Oryzias latipes: one gene and its partner. The protein of the gene in region 1 binds, or shares a complex with, the protein of each later gene. Links are inferred from orthologs where the notes say so. Each region holds a gene or a part of one and is shown on either strand. Other genes may lie near its edges.

The links.
Region 2: os9 (region 1) and ube2j1 share a complex: the UniProt entries of both Homo sapiens proteins name them as parts of the HRD1 complex. The link is inferred for Oryzias latipes from reciprocal best matches to the Homo sapiens genes OS9 and UBE2J1.

What each region holds. Positions count from the first base shown.
Region 1 is NC_019863.2:4,136,479-4,139,545, forward strand, and holds the end of os9 (protein OS-9), read left to right. Parts: intron 1-1,485; coding exon 1,486-1,626; 3' UTR 1,627-2,540; downstream 2,541-3,067. UniProt on the Homo sapiens protein: Lectin component of the HRD1 complex, which functions in endoplasmic reticulum (ER) quality control and ER-associated degradation (ERAD).
Region 2 is NC_019882.2:20,253,897-20,258,170, forward strand, and holds the start of ube2j1 (ubiquitin-conjugating enzyme E2 J1), read left to right. Parts: upstream 1-1,301; 5' UTR 1,302-1,600; coding exon 1,601-1,631; intron 1,632-4,274. UniProt on the Homo sapiens protein: Catalyzes the covalent attachment of ubiquitin to other proteins. Functions in the selective degradation of misfolded membrane proteins from the endoplasmic reticulum (ERAD) and is essential for cells to recover from ER stress.

The DNA of each region.
Region 1 (3,067 bases):
AACTGCAAAACTGTCGTACTTGTACTACAACATTTCTTCCCGGGTTTCGTCTCACACAGCTCCATGTGTTTGCTTAGTTTTCTGTTTGGACTGTAAGTTAAAACCTGTCCAAACTAGAAAGGTTAGAAAACCAACACCAGTTGTGTTGAAATACTTAGACCGTTATCTTTGTGGTGTTCTGTCTGTTCTAAACACAAAGACAAGTCAGGTCTGCTGTATATAAATTGAAAGTGTTAGTTATGCAAATCGGCTGTAAGCAAATATTCCAGAAAAGACTGAGACGGCGTCGCCTTTTCTCCATTGAGTCATCTATTGAAGCTCTGTTAATTAATTAATCAATTACAGTTGACTTTAAAAGAAAAATAATTCACTGTAGCAAAGGTTTACCTTTAATTTAGCTTTTGAGCAACTATTATTTCTTTTATTAAAAAATAAAACAGAAAGTGTCCTGTGATTGGATTAGAATAGTGATGGGAAATGTTTGTGATGGAGAGTTTCTGATTTGTCAGAGTTGAGTTTTGTGGACTTCGGATTTGTGGGATAGGTGGAAAATCTAAAAAAAAAAAAAAAAACTAAACCCAAAAGGTTTTCCTTTTCTGTTGCATTTTTCAGGTGTTTTACTCTGATCCCCTTATGTAGAAACATTCCCAGTGGTCTTTTCTTTATGATTATGGCGTTTTTAGCCGAAATAAAACAACTTTTTTAATCACATTCACCTCTGAGTTGTGAGCAGGGATGGTTGGCACAGACTAACCCCTCCCCACTGTTGCTGTGAAGTCTGTTTACATGCTCTCCAGCTAGCTTACAGCCCCTCACACCCACAACCCAACATTAACAGTGCAACAAAAGTGGAGCAATGGAGGAGCTGTCCAGCCAGATTCCAGCTCAGACAGGGGAAAACAAAGACGTTCATGTTTCTATTGGTCTGACAGTGGATGATCAGAATGGAGCGGAGCAGGAAGACTGTGTCTCGCTGATTGTAGTTTGTACAGAACAACTGATAGCTTTTTCAAGCAGCGTTTATTCATCTGCTCCTGAATCACAAATGATCAGAAATGCAACTTTGAGCTGAATTTTCTTTATGTATGTCCACATTCGTGAGAAAAATGCTGCTGTGAGCATGTTAAAAACACACCCAAAAAATGCATTTTCATTGGAGTAGGTCTTTCAATCACCTCATATATGCGTCAACGGTGATTTTTTTTTTTTCTCAGATAATGGGGGGGGGGGGGGTGTTAAATATTCAAATGCGTCAGGATTAAAAAAGATTTGATCAAAGTATAACTTTTATTTTCATTAGAATGTACGGTTCTGCTTTAACAACGGCATCCACATCTGATCCCTGCTGGACGCTTTCACACACAGAGGAACACATTCAGCTTGGGATCCATGTTCATGCGAACAATTGTAGGTTTCTTCATATTGAACTCTGGCAGTGGTCATGTGACTCTGGATCTGTTGTCGTCCCCCCCCCCCCTCCCACAGACTGGAGGCACTGAGGAAGTTTACAAGGAACAAAAGAGGCAGCAGGAGTTGGAGAACAACTATCGGTTTGTGTGGGGAGAGAATCGGGAGGAATCTCAGTCCTCCAGCACATCATCGGACTCTGACGATATGGACGTATGAGCTCACGCCGTCACCGCCGCTCTTCTGCCGGTCCAGTCATCAGGAGCCCGACGGGGAGAACGTGAAGGTGTCATCACAAATGGGGAGAATCCTCCTGGTTGCTGCTGAATCGAGCCAATGATGACACTTTGCACATTCAGGAAGAGCGTGTGTGTCTTAAGACTGCAATAACCTGATGCCTTCAACAGGCGTCGTTCATGTGTTGCACAGTGTCTGCTGTTCTAGTGCAGTTAAATAAAGCTGTTATTTTCCCTTTCATGGGATTCTGTTTTCATAAATGAGGAAAATAGCAGGCTGATGCATCGTTAGACATTTTCTTGCTTCCCGTTCAGAGGTCGCCAACATGTTTGCCACAGCTGTCTGCAGTTTTGCCATCGATGATCTTTACTGTACAAGTGAGGGACTCAGAAGAGGAGTTGGACTCAATAGAGCATGTGAGGTTGCACAGGAAGCTCCACTTAAATCTATTTTGCTATTTATATGATTTTTTTTTTTTCCTTTTACCTAAAACAGCAGTGGAGCAGAACATTATAAACTAGTTGATTGACATTCCAGCTCTTGACGATTTTGGTTAAAAGTTTAAATTCACTTCAGACATGCTTTTATTTGTGCACAAGATGAAAAGATTCAGGGAAAATGAAAGTCTTTTTTTGTTCCAATAAAAAAACGCTGGAAGGCCTATTTAAGTCTGTTTTGAACATGAACATTTAATTGATTTAGCACAGAAAAACAAACCTGCAATGCTCATAAAACCCTTCAAACATGAACGTAAAGGGCTGATTTTGTACACGGCCACCTGGACTTCTGTATTTACATGAGTTTTAGCTCAGTATGTTCCTGAATCTTGTTTGTTTTTTATGTTTGCACTGCTTACATGATAATGAAGCTGTTTGAGTAAACGTGCTTACAATTTCTGCCTCTGTCCTTCATGGAAAACGCATTGACAGTAACTATGTTTACTATTTCATTTAGATTTAGCTCTTTATTATACAATGCACATGTAAAAACAGTGAGTTCTTTTTAAGCACAGCTAATTCTATTTTGATTATTTTTGTCATCCCAAACTGCAAAGAACATTACGCCATGGTAAAGACTACTGCATTAGTTGTCTGTAGTAAGATTCAGTGTTGGAACTCGGCTGTTCCAGCAAACAGCTGGGTTGTTCCAGCGACGATCTAGGAAGAAGGAAGGACGAGTGCAAACATAAAGACTTTACTGGAAACCACACAGGTTTCATAAACTTAAAAATACACTTTACTTCTTATCTGTTCTTGTTTGTCTTATAAATATGATCTAGAAACAATAAATTAGAGGTTATACTCAGTCAGATGACATCAGCAACAAATTCTGCTATTGAACCCCAGCTTTTATTAAAATTGGAGTAGCACCAGAATCACAGGCGAATCACCACTTAAACTGTGTTATTTAGTTATTTATTTTA
Region 2 (4,274 bases), on another chromosome or scaffold:
ATATAATTAATAATCAAAATTACACAGTCAATTGTTTGAACTTAGAAAGGAAAGCATTTTGAATCCGTTTATGTTACAAAAGTGATATAAAATAATAATAATAATGAAACGAAGCAGAAACAATATAGAAGTTTTTGCAGTCAGGTGGCCTATGTATTTCAATGCGGCCAGTCTTTTACTATAGGCTGGGCATGTCTTTTTGGCTTTAAACTCGTCTTTTGAGGGCTTTTTGGGGGTTTTGTCGTCATTTTTGCGACTACAATTTTAACGTTTGTGTGATGGTGTTGTGCGTGTGTGTGTGTATTTTTGTTGCGTTACACAATTGTCGTGTCGTTGTGTGCTTTGGGCGACTTTTGGCCTTGTTTTTTGGCGTTTTGACGCGATTTTTGACGTTTTGGACCTTTTTGAGTGTTCGACCCTCGTAGCAGTTACAATATGGTCCTTGCACTCTGTGAGTGCTGCGGGCCATAATAAAGGTATATTAAGTAATGAACCTATGATAATAGATGTTCACCATCGAAAAAGATGAATAAAAAATTCATAGTATATCTCATTGAGAAAGTAAGAGTTCAACATTTTAAATGAAAATTAGTTAAAGTGGGGGGAACAACATATTTAAATAAATTAGTCAAATATACAGTAAATGTGCTTGGTTACGGTATTTTAATTACTTATATATTTATTTATTTATTTATTGACGGATGCTCACTTCAACACGTGAATTTTTTTAAACAAACCTTGTTGAAAGCAACGGTCCATTACACAGCAGTGCCAGACAACAACAGGAAAGGAACAAACCAGGGAGTTATTAATACATTTTACACAAAGACATTCAAACTGACGCACAGATCGAATGTTTTAATGGCTTTCTTATTGTCAGAGTTTCTTATTGTGTTCACGTATTGTTTGAACTCATTGAAAAAGATAGAAAAATGAAGGGTATGATTTGTAACTTTGAATTTATGAAGGTTCCATTTGCATAAAAACAAAAGGAGATTAATGATGTATAATTGTTCTTTATTATGAGATGGAGAGTGGGTGAGGCCAAACATAACATGTTCTGAGTATAGGCGGAAGTCTGAGTCTATGTGGGCGGAAATGAAATGTCAAACTTTAGACCAGAGTTTTGTGGAAAAGGGACATGACCAAAATAAATGTGCAGCAACTTCAGGTTGTTCTTGACAAAAAGAGCAGCTTACATCAATATCTTTGAAACTTTGCAGATAAGATGTTGTGAATTGACCAATGACAATAAAGCTGACAAACCCCGCCTCATTTGCGAACTCCATGACATCACTTCCTGTTTACGTTCCGTAACTGACGTCACACTAATACCGACCAGAGAAGAGTGTTTGGAAAGCGAAAGCTCAAATAACTTCACTGAAAACTTCAACCGCGCTCCCGTACGGACCGGAACCGAATTTCCTGCCTGTCAGCTGTGGGCTGAACCTCCGGGAAGGACAGGGAAAGCTCAGTTCACAGTATTATAGCCGCGTTTTCGCTCAGAAGACATTAGCTAGGCGAAGATCTCCTGCTGCTGCTGTGCTAGCTCCTGAGGACCTAGCTGCAGGAATTTTAGTTTTTTTTTTGAAAAGCCAACATGGAGAACAAATACAACCTGAAGAGCCCCGGTAAGTGTTGGTCCTTTGAACAATGTTCGGCACAAACTGACCTGTTTCCTCCACATTGAATTTGAAACCGAGCAGACGTCCACGATCTATGAGAACATAACCGTTAACGCTGGCAGAGTGAGTCAAACGAGCTTTTTACAGACAGACAGTTTGGTACGAGCATTGATGTAGAAAATCTAAACTTTGTTATTTTTTACGTCATAAACGTTTTATTGTTTTCCTGCTGGCGGACTCAACTTGTCTGATTGATGGTTAATGTTTACAAAATGTAGAAAATAGCACACATCCATTTCCTGACAAATGTGAGGCTTTTTAAAATGTCTTTTATTTTTGGCTTTTCATCTGTTTCCTCAGCTTCTGCACATTCAGTCATGTGCTCCTCTGGATCACTAAAAGAAATGATTAAGGAGAGTTCTCTAACCTAATTTACTGATTAGCTTTAAACAAACAAAAAGGAAATTATAATAATAATAATTTTAGGATAAACATGTCTGGATTTGAATAAACAAATGTGACAATGACACAACTGCACGTCTGTTCCACAAACCATACTGATAATTGACTTTAATATATTATTTCACTATTATAAATCCATGTTATTGATTATAGTTACAGCTGATTAAATGAATTTAGATGAAGTAACTCATGTGTTCATTGAAGCTGACGGTAGAAATGTGAAGGTGAGATCAGTTGTTTCACCTCAGCAGCTCTAATCAAATGTCCTTGCTCCTGTGGGAGTTGATGTTTCCATCTGGCCTTCAGGCAACGAGCGGGACGACAAACACTGGCAGTACGTGGCGTTTGTTCAGTGTCTCTGGAAATCCCTTTCGGTTGCACTCAGGAAGCCCTGATAGTGTCTGGTTGCAGCTGTGTGTTAAGGCCTACATGGTGCTGGTTTCACAGCTTCTGCATCAGGATAGGGAAACTCACATAATTAAAATAGTACACCAAGAATAATTGTAAAGCAGATGAAGAAATATTGTTCCCAGGGTGTTATTAGTTACCTAAGGAAACTAAGGTGAACTATTCCCCAAAGTTCAATTGACTTTTTTAAGGAAATTATGTTGAATACTCTACGAATAAATGTACTTAATTTTTTGTCCATTAACAAATTTTAGCATTAATTCAATGCTTTATTGGAAAAATGAAATATGAACCCAATTCCCATTTCTGGTCTTTTATATACTAAAGGGCTTTATATATGTTGTGAAGGCTCAGCCCATTATTGATGACATCACAGGAAGTGATGTGGAGTTTCTTTCTTCTTCTATGGTTTTCTGGGTTTTTGTTTTTACGTGTGCTCTGGAGCAGCTCAGCAGAGACAGACTCTAGTTGCCCTACAACCCTGTCTTGCATCTTCAGTTCATTCCAGTTGCTGTATTTTTCAATTTTGAGTAACTGAGAAAACGTAAGAGTTTAAATCATTACTCATTTTATTCATGCAGTTATTTCCTCGGCCACGTTTTCTATGAGGTTTTCAGATTTAATTATATTTTACATATTATAAGGAGTTAATTTTTGACCCACTGAGTCAGTTTTCCTTGTTTTATGTAATTTACTTTATCTACAGCAGGCCAGTTTGTGTTATTTATGTAGTGGTGAGAGGAGTCTTTTGTTGTTTGCAGAGGGACTTGGATAAATCAGCAATAGAATAAATTCAGAGCATCTGCCAAGTGGAGTCACATCTCCATGTGTCCTGACCGACACCCCATCTTGTTTATGTTTAAACTCCTACCGCGAATCAGTGATACAATCCTCCATCCTCACAGTCCTCCATAACAATATAATTATGAAAACATTTATTAAAAAATGGCATTTCTTCATTTGTTTTCAGTGTTCCCTTCTCTATTGCGGGGGATATGTTCCATAAATTACCTGCGATTGGTGAAATCTACGAAGTAGGATTACAGATGTTTTAAGGCTTTAAAACTCCTCACGATACACTTTCTACACTTTTCTTAGACACACATGAACATTCTCACACTTTTCTCTATTGTTTGATTTCAAACCTTCATTAAAAACCAACTCTAGTATTATAGAATAAAAACAAAGATCTAATCCCGATGGAAGATTTTTGTAAATTTGGCACAGTGAAGGCATTCTGTATAGAAAAAAAAATGAAGATAATTGATTGACAAGGGCAACAACCAATCAGGATGTAAGTATGCAAAATTGTACAGAAATTTCTTTGCTTGTACACAAGTTGAACCGCAATATAATAAGGGAACACTATTTTTCTTCTCTCCCTCCATCCAACCCTCTACTCACTCATTACAACAATCGTATTGTCCTCTTTGTCTACATCCATGAACTTCTTTGGTCTTCCTCTTTCCTGCTACATCTAACAGCATTTCAGCATCCTTTTTCCAACATCATCACTGTTTCTCCTCTAAAAGTGTCCAAACCATCTCCATCTGCTTCCCTGCATTTATCATCTATCATGATCTGTTCCTCTGATGGATTCATTCCTGATCCATTCTGGTATCTCCCAAAGAGAACCGCAACATCTTCACCTCTGCTACTTCCATCTTTGCTTCCTGTCTCTGCAACAAAGTCTCTAAACCAGGGGTCAGCAACATTTATGTCATGAAATACCAATTTGAAAAGTTCTCTTTAACAACTGTGCCGTCGCAATTTCATGTA